Linked DNA regions of Oryctolagus cuniculus. The protein of the gene in region 1 binds, or shares a complex with, the protein of each later gene. Links are inferred from orthologs where the notes say so. Each region holds a gene or a part of one and is shown on either strand. Other genes may lie near its edges.

The links.
Region 2: GTF2F1 (region 1) and POLR2J share a complex: the UniProt entries of both Homo sapiens proteins name them as parts of the TBP-based Pol II pre-initiation complex. The link is inferred for Oryctolagus cuniculus from reciprocal best matches to the Homo sapiens genes GTF2F1 and POLR2J.

Annotation. Positions count from the first base shown.
Region 1 is NC_091447.1:60,702,442-60,711,195, reverse strand, and holds the end of GTF2F1 (general transcription factor IIF subunit 1), read left to right. Parts: intron 1-2,235; coding exon 2,236-2,429; intron 2,430-3,765; coding exon 3,766-3,936; intron 3,937-5,281; coding exon 5,282-5,466; intron 5,467-5,974; coding exon 5,975-6,128; intron 6,129-6,212; coding exon 6,213-6,274; intron 6,275-6,350; coding exon 6,351-6,470; intron 6,471-6,712; coding exon 6,713-6,786; intron 6,787-6,871; coding exon 6,872-7,010; intron 7,011-7,114; coding exon 7,115-7,232; intron 7,233-7,325; coding exon 7,326-7,530; 3' UTR 7,531-7,557; downstream 7,558-8,754. UniProt on the Homo sapiens protein: TFIIF is a general transcription initiation factor that binds to RNA polymerase II and helps to recruit it to the initiation complex in collaboration with TFIIB. It promotes transcription elongation.
Region 2 is NC_091450.1:44,082,286-44,091,867, forward strand, and holds the start of POLR2J (DNA-directed RNA polymerase II subunit RPB11-a), read right to left. Parts: upstream 4,784-9,582; 5' UTR 4,681-4,783; coding exon 4,628-4,680; intron 1,044-4,627; coding exon 954-1,043; intron 310-953; coding exon 135-309; intron 1-134. Other genes in the region: ras GTPase-activating protein 4, read right to left, coding at 7,264-7,463, 7,556-7,590. UniProt on the Homo sapiens protein: Core component of RNA polymerase II (Pol II), a DNA-dependent RNA polymerase which synthesizes mRNA precursors and many functional non-coding RNAs using the four ribonucleoside triphosphates as substrates.

The DNA.
Region 1 (8,754 bases):
TTCATGCGTTGTACATCGTGCGCTGTTCTGAGTGACAGGAGGAAGTCCCACTGGCCCAAGGAGCTGTGCTGTGTTCGCCGCCCACCCAGCCGCTGGCCGCCTCCTGGCCCTCTGGGTTATCCCCGCAGCCGTTGTGCTGTCTCGGGGCCACCCGTGGAGTCACCCGTGTTTTACTCGATAGCGATGGTGGATACTCGGATGTGGAGTGCGTCCTTTAAGTCAGGGTGGGCGTCTCCTCCCTGCCAGGGGCAGGGCTTGGGGACATCATTTGCAGGCCGCGCGATGATCGGCCTCACCGTTGGCCTGTTGTTCGTGATTGGGTTGCCTGTCCCGCCCACCTGCCTGCGGCTGCCCTGGCGCCTGGGCTGGACAGTCCCCGCCCACCGCCTGCTCAGAGGACAGATGGCCACGCTCACCGAACCTCTGTTATGATAAACTGTTACAGTTGTCCTAGTGTTAATAATATACCATCTACTTGAAGGAAGGCAGAGTGAGAGAGAGTGACTTTTTTATTTATTTATTTATTTTAAGATTTATTTATTTGAAAGGCAGAGCAGTATAGAGGGAGAGACAGAGAGAGATCTTCCGTCCCTTCCATCCGCTGGGTCACTCTCCAGTGGCTGCAGCAGCTGACGAGACCCACCCGGGCTGACACCAGGAGCCAGGATCTCCGACTGGTCTCCCGCGTGGGTGGCAGCGGCCCAAGGACTTGGGCCACCCCTGCTGCCTCCCAGGTGCACTAACGGGAAGCTGGATCAGAAGCAGTCGCTGTGACGTGACCGGTGCTGGGGTGGCAAGCAGCGGCGTGGCTTGCCCGCACGTTTGCCCTGAGGTGTTAGGGTGGCTTTGTCAGGACGTAGGCCCTTCAGCTCGCCGTCTCAGAGCCTCTGACCTGGGCCATCCGGGAAGCTGCGCTCCCCCACGCCCCGGGCATTCCGCCTCTTTCTCGCCCACTTCCTGGCTCCGACGGCTGCCCCCGCCCCCCAGTGTAGAGGAAGCGCACCCCCGGGTCCCCGTCGCACAGCAAGCTGTGGGAAGCACACCGTGAGTGTTCCCATCCTTGAAACTGTCTCCTGTCACCTGAGTGTGACTGACAGCTGACAGGATTGATGGCTCGGTGTGGAATTCCAGACCCGTAAGCTTGGAATCTGACGGCGTCGCTGCACCCCTCCTTCTGACTTCTGGGTGCTCTGCCATCCTTGATCCCTGGGGTCAGGGGTCAGGGGTCACCAGGTTTTCTTATAGCACCAGGTGGAGGCGGGCGGTGTGGCACACAGGTTAGGCGTCTCGGGGTCCCTACGTGTCACCCTGAGTCCCAGATCTAGTTCTGCCAAGGCTCCCAGTCCGGCTTCCTGTGAGTGCAGACCCTGGAGGCAGCAGTGGCGGCTCAGGTACCTGGGTCCCGGCCACCCACGTGGGAGGCCCGCATGCAGTTCTGGGCTCCTGGCTGCTTTGAGCCTTTGTGGAATGAACCAGTAGATGAAGCCCTCTCTACCCCTCCCTCCATCTCTCCAATACAAGGAAAATGAATAAAATTGACGACTTAGCCTATCCTGGCCTCCCTTGGAGCCTTTGGGCAGTTGGTGCCAGGACCCCACCACAGACCCCCAAAGCCATGGACACCCGAGTCCCTTCCGTAAAGGGCTTAGTGTTTCCCAGGAGCTGCACACCTTTCCCTGTGGACGCTGGCATCTCTAGGCGACTTACAGGCCCTAATGCGAATGCTGCTGTACCGTCAGATTGATTTCTTTATTTGAAAGGCAGAGTGACACACAGAGAGGTCTTCCAGCTTTGCCAAATGGCCGAAACAGCCAGAGCTGGGCCAGGCTGCAGCCAGGAGCCAGAGCTCCATCCGGGGCTCCCACGCAGGTGCAGAGCGCTTGGGCCACCTTCCACTGCTTTCCCAGGCCACAGCAGGGGGCTGATCGGAAGTGGACTCAAGTGTCGCCAGCGGCCGCCTGACCTGCTGGGGCCACAGCGATGGCCCCAGTTCTTTTTAATCATTAGAGATTTTTTTCCCTGTAACTAGTCTGGAAATAATCGCAGGTTTTCGAGAGCGGTAGCGGTAGACCACGACCGGGTTGCTGCGGTTCCCGGGGCACCAGCACCCTGCGGTCGACTGGCGCTGAGCACCCGCCGCTCAGCGTGGGGGAACTGCAGGGTGGGTGTTCCCGGCCCGGGGCCCAGCCCACCCGAGGCAGGCACCCCAGGAGCCGTCGCCTCCTGCTCCCCCAGGCGCGGCTGGAGCGGGACTTGAGCAACAAGAAGATCTACCAGGAGGAGGAGCTGCCGGAGTCGGGCGCGGGCAGCGAGTTCAAGCGCAAGCTGCGGGAGGAGGCGCGCCGGAAGAAGTACGGCATCGTGCTCAAGGAGTTCCGGCCCGAGGACCAGCCCTGGCTGCTGCGGGTCAACGGGAAGGCCGGCCGCAAGTGCGTGCGGGAGGGCGCGGGAGGGCGCGGGGCGGGCGGTGGGGCGCGGCGCTGCCCACGCGGGGCGCGCGGGAGGACACGGGGCCGCTTGTGCGTGCGGGAGGGCGCGGGGCGGGCGGTGGGGTGCCGCGTTGTCCACGCGGGGCGCGCGGGAGGACACAGGGAAGCTGGAGCGCAGCGCTGCCCACACGGAGGGGGGGGCGCGGGAGGTCATGGGGCCGCAAAGGGACAAGAAAACGGGTGTTCTTTAGGTGGAGCCAGGGGTCTGGCACCCGCTAATCAGTGACACCTGCAGATGCAGGGACCTGCCCTTCTGCCCTCCCACCCAGCCCTGTGCACTTAGTGGGTGCCCTCCCTGACCCTGCTTCCCACTGCTACCGTGTGGTCTCAGGGCACCTGTGTGACCGGCCCTGGAGGGGCAGAGGGGCAGGCTGAGGAAGGGGGAGCTGGTCGCTCAGGGAGGGGCTGTCAGGGTGTGCCGGGGCGGGCGGTGGGGTGCCGAGTTGTCCACGCGGGGCGTGCAGGAAGACATGGCGCCGCAAGTACGTGCGGGAGGGCGCCAGGTGGGCGGTGGGGCGTGACGCTGCCCACGCGGGGCGCGCGGGAGGACACGGGGGCGCTGGGGCATGGTACTGCCAGTGCGGGGTGTGCGGGAGAATGGAGGACACGGGGGCTCTGCCCGCGCGGGATTGTTCTCGGCACTGCACCGGAAGCCCTGAGCCCCCACGGCCTAGCAGAGCTGCACGGGAAGGGAGATGGCCGGGAGGCAGGTGCACAGGCCTTGGGGGGGCACCCCTGTTCTGACACCCACTTACCAGCCAGCCTCCAGCCAGCACTCCTGGATCCCCTGGGGGTCGGGGGGCTCACTGAGGCGGCCGCCTCCCCTCTACCCTGTCTTTTAAAGGTCCCCCACCTCCCACACGTGATCTTAGGGGACACATTTAACCCACATCCGGCGCAGCAGTGGGGAGTGGGGGTGCCAGCCTGGGGACCTGCCCTTCTCCCCTCCCACCCAGCCCTGTGCACTTAGTGGGTGCCCTCCCTGACCCTGCTTCCCACTGCTACCGTGTGGTCTCAGGGCACCTGTGTGACCGGCCCTGGAGGGGCAGAGGGGCAGGCTGAGGAAGGGGGAACTGGTCGCTCAGGGAGGGGCTGTCAGGGTGTGCCGGGACCTGGGCCCACAGGGCCCTGGGTGGCCGGAGCACACTCAGAGGCGTCCGGGCATGGGGGCGGGACTGGGAGGGTGGGGGCCAGCAGGCACCCCAGAGGAGATGGGGGATGCCGGTGGGGCCGGGTCTGGTGTCCTGGGCCGGGCAGTGACCGAGGCTCCCCGCAGGTTCAAGGGCATCAAGAAGGGTGGCGTGACGGAGAACACGTCCTACTACATCTTCACCCAGTGCCCCGACGGGGCCTTCGAGGCCTTCCCTGTGCACAACTGGTACAACTTCACGCCGCTGGCCCGGCACCGCACGCTCACGGCCGAGGAGGCCGAGGAGGAGTGGGAGAGGTGAGCGGGCCTGGCGGGCCTGGGCGGGCCAGGGTGCACAGCCACACGCATGACCCCGGCTGCAGGCCAGGCCCCGGGCTGGGAGCTGGGATGGGAGGGGGGGGATTGGGGGAGGGCTGACATCAGTCCACCCTCACACGGCTCGTAGTCCAGTGTGGGGCAGCACGGACAGAGCTGATACGCGCAGGGCCGGGGGTGGCCGGGCAGGGTGCTCCAACAGCACGTGCCCCACCCACCCCACCCCGTCTTCCCCAGGCCTGCAGGACCAGCCTGGGGGCTCCCCTCCAGCAGCTTCTGGGAGGGGCCTCTGAGGCCCTGGGGACGGTGGGCATAGTTAGGGGCACGTGGGCTGAGGGACATGGCATCAGGCCAGAGCCCAGAGCACTTTAAATGCCCATCTGAGGATGTGACTTTTTTTTGTAAGATTTACTTATTTGAAAGGGAGAATTAGAGAGGGAAAGACAGAGAGAGATCTTCCATCCTTTGGTTCTCTCCTCAAATGGCCCCAGTGGCTGGGGCTGGGCCAGGCCAAAGCCAGGAGCCAAGAACACCATCTCTGCCACCTGGGTGGCAGAGACCCAAGTCCTTGGGTCCTCTGCTGCCTTCCCAGGAGCATTTGCGGGCAGCTGGATCAGAGGTGGAGCAGCCGGGACTGGAACTGGAGCGTGTGTGTGGCCACAGGGCTGGGCCCCGCCTCCCTGGGGCCTCTGCGGTGACACAGGCCACAGATGCATCTGCAGGTGTCCCCGGCGCCCCCTACTCCATTTCCTGTCCCTGGATCTGACTGCCCCAGGGACCTCCCAGGAGTGCAGTCGGGGAGGTTTGACCTCGTGTCTCCCACTGCGCCCGTTTCAAGGTCCACCCACATGGTAGTGAGTGTCACGGCTTCTCTCTCACCCTGAACGAGTGCCCAAAGACGCAGGGCGGGGAAAGCACCCGCAGCCCCTGTGGGAGCGCCTGGCTCTGAGCCCTGGCCCTGGCTCCCGATGCCGGCTTCCGGCCAATGCACGCCCTGGGGAGCAGCGGCGAGGGCTTAGCAGGCTGGGAGCCACGTGGGAGACCTGCATTGAGTCCTGGGCTGCTGGCTTTGGCCGGGCTTCTTGCAGGCACCTGGGGAGTGACCCAGCGGGTGGCAGCTGTCTCGGCCTCTGAAATAAAGGGAAAGCTTTTTGTTAAAGGCTCCCGTTCATGATATACAAAGACAGACTGGGGGGGGGGGGGGGGCGCTGTGAGTGGACGCTGGGCTGGAGAGGGCTTCAGGGGTAAGGCAGCTCTCCCAGGCGGGGTCAGGGCGCCCCGAGTCCCTGGGGGCGCCCTCGTCACCCAGCAGCCCCTCTGCCCGCAGGAGGAACAAGGTGCTGAACCACTTCAGCATCATGCAGCAGCGGCGGCTCAAGGACCAGGACCAGGACGAGGGCGAGGGCGAGAAGGAGAAAGGCGGCCACAAGAAGGCCAGCGAGCTGCGCATCCACGACCTGGAGGACGACCTGGAGATGTCGTCGGACGACAGCGAGGCCAGCGGCGAGGAGGGTGCGGCTGGGGCGAGGGCTGAGTGGGTGCGGGCGCCCCCAGGAGAGCTTAGCGGTAGCTGGCTGTTGGCCCAGCCAGGGGCAGAACGCGTCCTCCTCCCAGGCTGGACCAGGCTGCAGCCAGGAACCTACCCAGTCACTTAGCAGGCAGTGAGGGCAGGGGCCGGAGCCCGGACTTGAGGCCAGGCAAGCGGACGTGAGATGCGGGCACTCTGGGCCCCGTGGCCGCCCCGGGGTTGGCCAGTTTGAATGAGCCTGGTGGACACCGGGCTCTGGGGGCCGTCCTACTCGTCAGCACGTGGGCCTGGTGCGTGTGCGGGTGTGTGCATCACAGGAAGGGGGCTTGGGTTGTGGGCCCGGCCTGGGCGGTCGCCAGGAGGCGGTGCGCTCCTAGCAGGCCCTCGTCGTCTGGAGGGTGGGTGCAGTGGCCCCCGTCAGCGCATCGTCAACCAGGAAGCCCAGGACGGCCCGTGGCCTGAGCCCTTCCTCCCCCGCCCCCGCCCCCGCAGGCAGCAGAGCCCCCAAGGCCAAGAAGAAGGGGCCGCTGACCAAGGCGGGCAGGAAGAAGAAGAAGAAGAAGGGCTCCGATGACGAGGCCTTCGAGGACAGCGACGACGGGGACTTCGAGGGCCAGGAGGTGGACTACATGTCCGACGGCTCCAGGTGAGCAGGGGAGGCCGGTGACCCCCGCAAGCCCCCACGCCGCTCGCAGACCCGCCCACTCACCCCTGCCGCCGTGTCTTGCAGCAGCTCCCAGGACGAGGCTGAGGGCAAGCCCAAAGTGCCGCAGCCGGAGGAGGGGCCCAAGGGTAGGCGGCGCCCGGGGTGGGGGCGGGAGGGGGGGCGCGCTGGGCGGCCCCCTGCTCACAGCCACCCCTCCCCCAGGGGTCGACGAGCAGAGCGAGAGCAGTGAGGAGAGTGAGGAGGAGAAGCCGCCCGAGGAGGACAGGGAGGAGGAGGAAGAGAAGAAAGCCCCCACCCCACAGGAGAAGAAGCGCCGGAAAGGTGGGGCCCTCCCAGGCCTCCCCCGTGCGCGGTGGGCGGGCGGGCGGCGCGAGCAGGGGTCTCGGGTGCACGAAAGGTGGGGCCCCTCGCAGGCCGCCCCCGTGGGCTGTGGGGCGGGCGCCCGCAGGGGTCTCGCGTGTAGGACAGGTGGGGGCCATCCCAGGCCTCCCCCGTGCGCGGTGGGCGGGCGCGCAGGGGTCCCGCGCCGCTCTGGGCCTGACTCCCGACCACCGGCCCTGCAGACAGCAGCGACGAGTCGGACAGCTCCGAGGACAGCGACATCGACAGCGAGGCCTCCTCTGCCCTCTTCATGGCTGTAAGACGCAGGCGTGGCGGGGGCCGGGGTGGGCCGGGGCTGGGGCGTCTGTGAGCGTTCTCACACCCTGCCCCCGCCCCCGCAGAAGAAGAAGACCCCCCCCAAGAGGGAGCGGAAGCCGTCGGGAGGCAGCTCACGCGGCAACAGCCGCCCCGGCACGCCCAGCACGGAGGGCGGCGGCGCCTCGTCCACGCTGCGGGCGGCGGCCAGCAAGCTGGAGCAAGGTGGGTACCGGGCCGCTCTGCCCGGCCCTGGGTCAGAACCTGCCCTCTCTGGGCCCGGGCCCCACCCGCCCGAGGCTCAGCCCCGACCCCATCCCATCCCACAGGGAAGCGGCCGAGTGAGACGCCGGCGGCCAAGCGCTTGCGGCTCGACGCGGGGCCCCAGAACCTGTCTGGAAAGTCGACCCCCCAGCCGTCCTCGGGGAAGTCCACGCCCAGCGGCGGGTACGTGGGCGAGCGGGGCGGGGGCGGGCAGGGGCGGGGGGCGGTGCGGGGCCGCGGGGACCCGCTCACAGGCGCCCGCCCGCCGCCCCGCAGGGACGTGCAGGTGACGGAGGACGCCGTGCGCCGCTACCTGACGCGGAAGCCCATGACCACCAAGGACCTGCTGAAGAAGTTCCAGACCAAGAAGACGGGGCTGAGCAGCGAGCAGACGGTGAACGTGCTGGCCCAGATCCTGAAGCGGCTCAACCCCGAGCGCAAGCTCATCAGCGACAAGATGCACTTCTCCCTCAAGGAGTGAGGCCGCAATAAACGCGCGCTGGCCTGGCGTGTCGTGTCGTGTCGTGTCGTGTCGTCCCGCTGTGCCGGGGACAGCCTCCGTGCTGGGAGCCAGCCCATCTCCACCCGCGCACCACCCCCATGACCCCTGAGCGCGTCCTTAGTGGAGCGAGTGGTGCTGACTCGGCGCTCTGTCGGCTGCTGTCTGTGCGGTCCGTCTCCCATGCTGCCCCGCGGGCGGGTGTGGGCACCTGCGCAATCTGAATGAAGTTCACAGGCGGGCAGACGGCCTTCGGGACTGTTGATTTATAATGAGATTTGTTTATTTGAAAGGCAGAGTTAGAGCTGCCGTCCGCTCGTTCGTCCCCCAAATGGCTGCAATGGCCGGGAGCCAGGAACGCCACCCGGGTCTCCCACATGGGTGGGGACCCCACGTCCTCAGACCATCTGCTGCCTCCCCAGGCAGAGCGGTTGGGATGCCGGCGCCCTGGCCACGCGGCCCCTGTGACGGGGCCTGGACAGGGCGCCAGGGTCGTCGGGGATGGCCTTGGCTCCCCGCAGCTGCCCAGGGAGCGCCGTCGCCGGACCCCTACCCCCTCTCGCTGCTGGCCTGGGCTTTTGAGCGCTTCTTTCTACCCAGGGAGCTCTCCGGGGTCCCGATTTTCTGCCCCTGTGGTGGTTTTCTCAGGCAGGCATCACCACGGGCTCTGGCCAGGGGGATGGGACGGTCAGAGCGCTGGGCTGATACCATGGCCGGAAACGGGATTTGGCTGCAGCCGCTGCTGCTGAGCCTGGTTCCCGGTGACCCGGCCCGGGTGGGGAACGCAGGTGGAAAAGTCCCTGCCCAGCGAATGCCGGAGATGCCAGGCTAATTCCCAGGAATGTCCCCGTCCCGCCAGGCCTCTGTGCGCTGCCAGGAAGCGGCTCTCGCTGGCCCTGCCACGTGGACCGCGGTGTGACCCCGTGGCTAGGAGCGGGAGCCTGGGTCCCAGCCCCAGGCCTGTTTCCCTTGTGTGCGCCTGTCTCATTGGGGTACAGGACACGAGCCACCGTGGGGTGCGCCCTACGCCGGTCTCTGGTCCTGACTGGCACCTGACATGGCATTTCTTTTATTTGAACGTCGCTGAGGTTCTGTACTAAGATCCGCTGCGTCGTGGCGCGTGCCCCGGGATGGAGGTGGCCGCCGGCTCCCCGGTCATACAGCACAGCCAGCACCCCGGGAATCTCTTCTGGAGGTTGGCTTGGG
Region 2 (9,582 bases), on another chromosome or scaffold:
TGCTGTCCTAGACTCGGGCCCTGCCGTGGGCTGGTGTGACCCAGACAGATGCCTGGAAGCAGCCCTGAGGGGCAGCAGGCCGCCCCCGGCCTGGTAGGGCACACGTCCCAGGGACTGCTGGGGCCCCGCCTCACCCGGAAGCGCTCCTCCAGCAGCGAGAGCTCGCTGATGAGGTCGGTGATGGCGTTGGTGAAGGCCTCCTGCGGGCTGTAGTCGGGGGTGGTCTGCACGCGGATGATGATCTTGTGCTCCAGGGGGTGGGGGACTTTATAGCCAGCAAACAGCACCTGCGGGTCCTTGAGCAGCTGCCTGGGGCGGGAGAGAGGGCGCGCTGAGGGCTCCCAGGCGGCGCCTGTGCCAGCTGTGTGGCCCAGGGTGTTCCCCTACCGGGAAGACACTTGGAAGAGGAGGTGCCGTGCGTGCCCCGCAGCGTTAACACAGACACCGGCCCAAGCGGCGGCGGGAGAGGCCTGGGCCCTGGGCACGCGAGGACACACCATGGGCTCGCTCAGGGGGGGCACTGCCCAGACTCCTGCCCCCAGCCTCTGACACAAGCTGGGACGGGCCCGCCTTGCTGGCGCCACCTGCAGGGGAGGGGCGGTCACAGCCCTGGCTGCCTACTTGGCTGGGACACGGGGACCCTGGACAACCACACCGTGCCTCTGCCACCTCCCCTCGACGTGAGAGTCTGTCACAGGGGAGGAGGGGGGCCTGCTGGCCCGGGATAGACAAGGGGTGGGGTGCATGTAAGGGTCAGTGTCATCTGACGACCAGGGATGAGCCGCGTCACGGGCGGGGCCGAGAGGCTGCTAAGTGCCCTGCGGGGCAGCGCCAGGGCCTCGAACCCACGCGAGGGGCAGTGCCTGGGCTGCCACCGGAACAGGCAGCGCCCCCGAGCGGGTAGCCCTGAGGGCAAGGCCAGCCCGCGCGTGGGCCCCTGGCCGGGCACTTACGATTTAATGATGTTCCCGAGCGTGTGGTCCTCCTTGTTGATGGTGAACAGGCACGCGTTGGGGACCTTGGTGTCCTTGTTGATGGTGATCCTGGGAGGAGGCGGAGGTGAGGCTGGGGCAGGGCCTCCTGCCCCCCAGGGCACCCACGGCTCCCACCCCCTCTGCGGTGGGCTCCCAGCGGCGTGTCTGCCCCCCCCCCGACCCTGGCCACCCACCCCACAAGGCGCCTTCCAAAGCAGAATACTCAACCCCAGCACTACCTGTGCTTCAGCCCTGATGAAGCTCTCCTTGTAGGAGAAGGGTGTTTTTTTTGTTTGTTTTTGACAGAGTGGACAGTGAGAATTTTTGCCGTTGGTTCACCCCCCAGTGGCCGCTGTGGCCAGCGCACCACGCTGATCCAATGGCAGGAGCCAGGTACTTCTCCTGGCCTCCCATGGGGTGCAGGGCCCAAGCACTTGGCCCATCCTCCACTGCACTCCTGGGCCATAGCAGAGAGCTGGACTGGAAGAGGGACAACCGGGACAGAATCTGGTGCCCCGACCGGGACTAGAACCCGGTGTGCCGGCGCTGCAAGGCGGAGGATTAGCCTAGTGAGCTGCGCCAGCCGGAAAATATTTTTAAAACTGCTTTTTTAAACCTTTTTTTGGTCTGGTGTTGGGGCAGTGCTGCAGCATAGGAGGCTGAACCTCCACCCGCAGCACCGGCATCCCATACAGGCCCAAGTTCAGGTCCCAGCTGCTCCACTTCTAATCCAGCTCCCTGCTGTGGCCTGGGAAAGCCCTGGAAGATGGCCCAAGTGCTCGCTCTCTTTCCCTCTCTGTATTCTACCCCTCAAATGTTTTTAAATATGTGCTCAAGTAGGGGCCGGAGCTGTGGGTTAACGCTCTGGCCTGAAGCGCCAGCATCCCATTTGGGTGCTGGTTCGAGACCCGGCTACCCCACTTCCGATCCAGCTCTCTGCTATGGCCTGGGAAAGCAGTAGAAGATGGCCCGGTCCTTGGGCCCCTGCACCCGTATGGGAGACCCAGAAGAAGCTCCTGGCTCCTGGCTTCAGATCGGCGCAGCTCTGGCCATTGCAACCATCTGGGGCATAAACCATAGGATGGAAGACCCCTCTCCCTCCCTCCCTCTCTGTGTGACCCTGACTTTCAAATAAACGTTTTTAAAAATGTGCAAGTATTATGTGTCAATTAAAAATGTTAAGGGGCCAGCACCTGTAGTGTCAGCATCCCATATGGTTCGAGTCCCGGCTGCTCCACTTCCAATCCAGCTCTCTGCTATGGCCTGGGAAAGCAGTAGAAGGTGGCCCAAGTGCTTGGGCCCCTGCACCCACATGGGAGACCCGGAGGAAGCTCCTGGCTTCGGACTGGTGCGATTCTGGCCATTACAGCCAACTGGGGAGTGAACCAGCAGATGGAAGATCTCTCTCTGCCTCTCCTCTCTCAAGTAAATAAATAAATCTTTAAAAAAATAAAAATTTTAAAGCAGCGGAAGAGTCCATGGGAGCTGGTGCTGTGGTGCAGTGGGTTCAAGTCCCGGCTGCTCCACTTCCATCCAGCTCTCAGCTGGGGCATGGGAAAGCAGTGGAAGATGGCCCAAGTGCTAGCGCTCCTGCACCCGTGAGGCTCCTGGCTTCAGATCAGCCCAGCCCGGGCCATTGGGGCCATTTGGGGAGTGACCCAGCAGATGGAAGACCTCTCTCCCTCCCTCCCTCCCTCTCGGTCTTTCAAATTAAAAAGTCCATGGGAAAGGAAATACAAAAGGCGCTGTGTAGGCCGGCGCCGCGGCTCACTAGGCTAATCCTCCGCCTAGCAGCGCCGGCACACCGGGTTCTAGTCCCGGTTGGGGCGCCGGATTCTGTCCCGGTTGCCCCTCTTCCAGGCCAGCTCTCTGCTGTGGCCAGGGAGTGCAGTGGAGGATGGCCCAAGTGCTTGGGCCCTGCACCCCATGTGAGACCAGGAAAAGCACCTGGCTCCTGCCATCGGATCAGCGCGGTGCGCCGGCCGCAGCGCGCCGGCCGCGGCAGCCATTGGAGGGTGAACCAACGGCAAAGGAAGACCTTTCTCTCTGTCTCTCTCACTGTCCACTCTGCCTGTCAAAAAAAAAAAAAAAAAAGGCGCTGTGTAAACTAAAAACACGTTCATACCAGAAGCCACAGCGTGAGCACCTGTGATGGTAATGGGTGCTTCATAAACACGTTGCTGTGGCACAGGTAAAGCCACCTGCAGTGCCCGCATCCCACATGGGCGCCAGTTCGAGTCCCAGCTGCTCCACTTCCAATCCAACTCCCTGCTAATGCGCCTGGGAAAGCAGCGGAGGACGGCCCCAATGCTTGGGCTCCTGCACCCCCATGGGAGACCTGGAAGGAGCTCCTGGCTCCTGGCTTCAGATCGGCTCAGCTCCAGCTGTTGCGGCCACCTAGATAAGACCTAACTCTGCCTCTCAGATAAACTTAAAGAAAAAAAAAAAGGAGAAAGAAAGAGAGGCACAGAGAGGGACGCACACAGGTCTTCTCTCCGCTGGTTCACTCCACAGATGCCCGCCACAGCTGGGGCTAGGGAGACGCTGAAGCTAGGAGCCCACGAGAGAGCCAGGTCTCCCTGGGCCATCACCTGCGGCTTCCTGGGAGGTGGAGCAGCCAGGGCGGGAGCAGGCACTCCCCCCGCGCCACAGGCCCGCCCTGGGGGCTGCACGGCGCCCGGGGCGCCCGGGACCACCACGCCTGCTCCCCTGGTTGCTAGTCTGTGCCCAGGGAGGCTCGAGCGGCCGACAAGGGTCGCACCCCAGCCCCCGCACCCTAGGCTGCTCAGACTCGGAAGGCATTGCCCCCGCGAGAACCCACTTAACCTCTCCCTGTGCTTAACCACAGCGCGCGTGCAAGCAGCCCATTTTTCCAGGTGCGCACAGTGCGCCTCGGCCAGACCCAGCCCACACCACCGCCTCTTAGGATGACCAGGCGTTCCCGGAGCCAAGCCAGGGGCAGCTGATGGGACAAACAGGGCACACTCAGCGGCTACCACCTCTCATCACGAAGCCGCAGGCCCCAACCGCGCACCTGCGCCCTCGGCGCAGCCCCCGAACACCCTCCTCCTCGTTCAAGCTCCACCCGCGGCTGACCACGGAACGCACGCAATCCACGCCACAGCTTCCTAGACGCGCGCGAAACCCTCCCCAAGCGACTTCCCCACGAGCGAGACCCGCAACGCCTGCGCCCCTCGGTTTGGCCAAGCCACAAACACTCCTTCCCACGCGCAACCCCAAAGCCACGGTCCGCGCGCTCCCACGGGCGCCCGGCCAAGCCACGCGTCCGAGGACCACAGGGCGGGCAGGCGGGCGACCCGGGAGCCCGGCCCAGATGTGTGGCCGCCAGACCGCGGGCCCCGACAGGGCGGACCCGAGCTCCGGAGCCCTCGCGCAGGCCGCCGCGTGGAGGGAGGACGCGGGTGGCCGGCCGGACGCCACAGGGACGCCTGCCGGGGCCCCGCGGAACCACAGCACTCTGCAGCAGGACACTTTGCAAGTCCCCGCAAGTGCCGGCGTGCCCAGGGCACTGCCCCCCTGGGCGGACCCAGGCCGCTCGGACACTCGAACACTTCCGACCCCCGAGCCCGCAGGACACGCAGGAGCTGCGGGCCTCGGCCCGACCCTCCGCCGCCCCGCCGGGCTCCACTTACTTCTTCTCTCCCTCGAAGAGCAGAAACGACTCGAAGGCCGGAGGTGCGTTCATCCTGGCACCGCGGCCCGCCGGCGACTAAACGGCCGCCGCCACCGCCTCCAAACCCGACCGCGCGACTGCTTCCGGGTCACGCCGGCGGCGCCTACCGCGCCAGGACCGGCTCACTGCCCCCTAGCGGCGGGGAGGAGCTAGCGCAGGCGTGAGAAAAATTTTCCCCGATGCGCTCTGCGCGTGCGTCAGCCCGGAGGCCACGCCCCCGCCGCGCTCCACGCCTGGGCCAGGGGGCGCGGCTCTGGGGGTGCAGGCAGTCGGAGCGTTGCGCTGCCCGCTGGGTCCCGGCGAAGCGGGAAGCCGGAGCTACGCCTGTCTCCGCTGTCCATGCTTCTTGATCTCTTCTTTGGAAATGTGCCTTGGAATGCACCGCAGCAGGCCCCGGCACAGATACAGAGCCATGGGGTAGTAGGAGGCCGTGGCTGGGGGTCGAGGAAAGTCTTGTGGTCAGAGTGATAGGCGTGGACGGCCCCTCCAAGGCACCTGGCCAACAGCCACGAGGCCCTGGTCACCGGCGTCTTGTTGGCGGGGGCAGCTGGGTGAGCGCTGGGAGGAGCAAGTGCGACAGGTGTGACAGGGGGGTGGAGGGATACAGGTGCACCACCCCGCCTTGAGCTCCTGATTGGTGCCGAAGGCCCTCCCGGAGCTGTTCGGCCAACAGGGACTGGGGGCTCAGAGCAACCACAGGGACCCTGGTTGCAGCCTGGAGCCCCCACGGGAATCGCATCTCCCTGCGCGGGGGCGGAGGGGGGGACTTAGTACCTGGGAACTGCCGCTCTGCCCGGGGCCCGTGGGTAATGAGCCACGCCCTCTCGGCTCATCCTGAAGACTTTAGGACGCTGCCCTACGGAGACCTGGAGGTGACGCCTGGCCAGGGTCCAGAGCAGGGGATTCCCCCCCACCATCCTGGCCACCACCATGGACGGCTGCTCTCCTGGGGGAGTGCTGACCCCACTCGCCGGAGCGGCACACCCCCAGACTCTTCTGCAGGTCCATGTGGGGTGCCCCACGAGGGGATGGTGTGACCACAGCCTGGAATAGCTGGGCGAGGGGCACAACTACACAGTGGCCTGGGCCCCGGCATCCCGTATGGTCGCCGGCTCGTGTCCCGGCTGCTCCACTTCCAATCCAGCTCCCTGCTAATGCACCTGGGAAAGCAGTAGTAGATGGCCCAAGTGCTGGGGCCCCTGCACCCATGTGGGAGACCCGGATGAGGCTCCTGGGTCCTGGCTTCGTCCTGTTGCGGCCATCTGGGGCGTGAACCAGCAAATGCGCTCCGTCTCTCCTTCTAACTCCAACTTTCAAATAAATAAATCTTTATTTAAAAAAGAGAGATGCACATGGGCTAACAGGTGAGGAATGGATGGATGGATGGATGCACTGTGTTCTCCGTGCTGCTCTGGGAGGGAGGCTGAAGGCTGTGAGCACAGGGGGCGGGGTGGGGCAGGGAAAGGGGGTGTTGGGGTGAGGGAGCCGGCTGGCTGAGCCCCGCCGGGAGGCGCAAAGCCCCCACCCACCCTGCACTCGGGCTGACTGTACAGCAGGCAGTGGCCCTCTGCTGGTCATCGCGGGGTGGGCGCAGGGTGTAGCCTGGGCACCATGGGGTGAGGGACACCTGCTGTGTGACCCAGTGACGTCATCCTGCCCCAGGAGGCCGTGGGGGCTCCAGGTGGGCAGGGGGCAGGGCCTGGTGGGGGAGGAGGCGCTGGCAAAGCCCCAGAGGAACCGACCAAGGGCAGGCAGGCCAGCTCCCAGGATGTGGGCCATGGACTGGACTCCACTCTGGCTGACAGTGGGACCAGCGTGGGGACCCCTGGTGATGAGGGCACTAGACAAACCCCAGGGCTCAGGGATGGGCTGGGGCCGGTCGGGGGGGGGGGTGCTGAAGGCCCTGGGGGTGGTGCCTTGAGCTGAGTCACTGTGGACACAGCTGGTGCCCACCCTGGCAGCGGGAGCAGACATGGCCCAGCCAGCACGCTGGGCATCAGCCCGGGCAGGTGCCGCCTGCGTGTGCATGGTGGTGGGGAGGGGTGCTCCTGCATCTTGGGGCCGGGGGCTTGGGTGCAGACAGCAGCTGGAAGGCCCACGGGCCTCTGTGGCCTGTGAGGGGTAGGGGTGGGGCCCAGGAATGCAGTGGGGACAGCAGCCAGGTAGAGAAAGGAACCCCGATCCCAAGTGAGGGGGTGGCACCGTCCTTGGGCCAGCAACCTCGGGGTCCTCTCCCTGGACCCCCATCCCAAGAGCCCAGAGCCTCGTCTGTCACGGCAGGTTTATTGTCGGCAACAGAACACTGCGACCCTCAGCACAGGGCCAGGCAGTGAGGGGAGCGTGGGGCTGGGGGCTGGGAACCAGGGGGCACTCAGGTGGAGGCCTGGTCTCCGGGGTCTGGGAGAGCAGCCCACCTGGGCAGGGGTGGGGTGGGGACCCTCCAACGGTGGCTTTGGGCTGGACTTGCCCTTGGCAAGGCAGGGGGAGGGGTGTCCCTGGAGAGCCTGGCCCGGGGCGGCAAAGACCCAGACCCCCGGAGCCGTGAGGTCGGCCATGCTGTGCAAAGCCCCGCCGGCTCCCAACTTCCAGGGCTTCTCATCTCTGGCTCCTGCACGCCAGGGACCAGGCGGAGGGCCCGAGAACACGGCACCGGGCAGGACGGTGGGGCAGGCCACAGGTCTGCACTGCCAGCAGGCGGCTGGGCTCGGCGGGCGGGGTGCTGGCTGGGAGGGCGCCGTGGGCCTCGCGCAGGTCCTGCAGGATCCGCAGCAGCCGGGCCAGGGAGCCCTCAGGGGCTGCAAGCGGAGGGGCCATGAGGGCGGGCATGGCCTCTAGGTCTGAGGACCCCCGTCCACAAGGGGTGCGGGGCTTGGGCCGAGGGACCTACCTTCCCCAGGGCCAGTCAGCTCCCGACACTTCTCCCTGTGGGACAGGACAGAGTGAGGGCCAGCAGCCGCAACCCCCGCCCCCCGCACTCCGCCAGGGCTGCAGGTGACCCAGAGAGGCCGCGGGTAGCCCTGGGGGGCGGGGGTCGACCAGAAGGCCCCTTGCTAATGGGCTCAAACCCACAGCGATAGGAGCCAGTGGTATTTCAAGCACCGTTCCTAATGGGGTTCACACAGCAAGGATGCACGGCCGTGCCCAGCGGGGCTCCGGGCTCCTTGTCCAGGGTTTCTCCTGGCTCAGCCCTCGCTGTCTCCCTCATCTGCTCTGGGAGGGCTGTGCCCCTCTGTGCTGCCCTCCTGGCCCCAGGGGACCAGGCCCTGCAGCTTCCGGGACACCGAGTGGCCACCCTCCCTCCATGCTGCCCCCCTCCCCTGCGGCACCCTCCGCGAGACCCTGTCCAGCCTCACATCTGCCTTTCGCTTGTCCGGCATCTGCTGAGGGCCTGGGCCACGCACGCCAGGACCTGTGAGCAGCCCTGGCGTTCCAGAAGTGGGCACCAGCTCAGCGTGGTCAAGCGACAGGCAGGAAATGAGCAAACAGCTGAGGGGCACAGAAGCCGGGGAGGGCTGAGCAATGCGTCTCTGTCAAGTGCAAAAGGCCTGGGGTGGCACGGCCACCGTGCGGCGAGACAGCAGAGGGGTCTCTGCAGCAGGCTCGGCCCATGGGAGGAGGGAGGCCGGAGACGAGGCCGAGAGGCAGCCGGCCAGGGCACTGCCTCTGGGTTTCACACGTGTGGGAAGCCGCTGGGGTTCTATGCAAGGGAGGAAAATTATCTGTTAGGTTTTAGAAGCCGATCCAGGGAGGCTGAGTGGGGGCAGTGAGGAGGGAGCAGCTCCGGGGGTCGGAGCTGGGCCCACTGTGAAAGGGGACCGGCAGAGGGGCGGGGGCGGGGCGACCAGGTGGCGTGGGTTCCAACCTCAGCCACACAGGATCAACACAGCAACCCGAATCCTGCAGGGGTTATACGTGGAGGGGAGCTGGAACAGGGTCTCATGGACATGGCAGGGAGGGGAGGCGGGGGGCAGGTGGACGCAGCCCTTAGGTGGACAATGAGGTCACTAGACAAGGGGATGGGGGTGGGGGTGCAGTGCGCTAGGCCAGGCCATCAAGGAGAGGAGGCGATGGCAAAGCGACCAGGGCCGCACTCCCAGGGGAGCAGGTGCATCTGGTGGGGCGGAGGGAGAGCCAAAGCCTGTGCAGGGACCAGATGAGCCCTGGAGACTGGAGGAGGAACAAGGAAGCGCTCACTCAGTGCCAGCCCCGGGAGTGAGGGACCCCTGGCCTTAAACACCCCGGGGCCGAGCCCACCCAGAGGTGCACAGATGGAGCCCGGCCTCTTCCTTCTTGCTCTTTCTTTTCTTCCTGCCTTTTTCCTTTCCTTTCCTTCTAAGGTTTGTGTGTTTATTTAGCGCAAAGGGAGAGTTACAGAGAAAGATCTTCCATCTGCTGGTTCACTCCACAGACATCCGCAACAGCCAGGGCTGAGCCCAGCCATTAGCAGGAAGCTGGATTGGAAGTGGAGCAGCCAGGACTCGAACCGGTGCCCCTCTGGGGTGTTGCAGACGGAGGCTTTACCTGCTGTGCCACAGTGCTGACCCTGTGGCATCCTGTTTCTTAAAATTGTATTTAGCGGGAGCTGGGCGGTGGTGCGGTGGATAAAGCCACCACCTGCAGTGCCGGCATCTCATGTGGGACGGCCCAAGTGCTTGGGCCCCTGCCTCCCATGTGAGAGACCCAGATGGAGTACCAGGCTCCTGGTTTCAGCCTGGTCAAGCCCGGGCTGGAGTGGGCATTTGGGGAGTGAACCAGAACAACTCTCCATCCCTCTCCATTGTCACTCTGTCTTACAAAGAAGTAAATAAGTAAACCTTTGAAAACAAAGTTACTTTTTTAAAAGCCTCCTGTTTTTCTAAACTGGCTGGGGCTGGGGGCACTAGGGGGAGGCGGGCAGAGGGGCCGCAGTGGTCT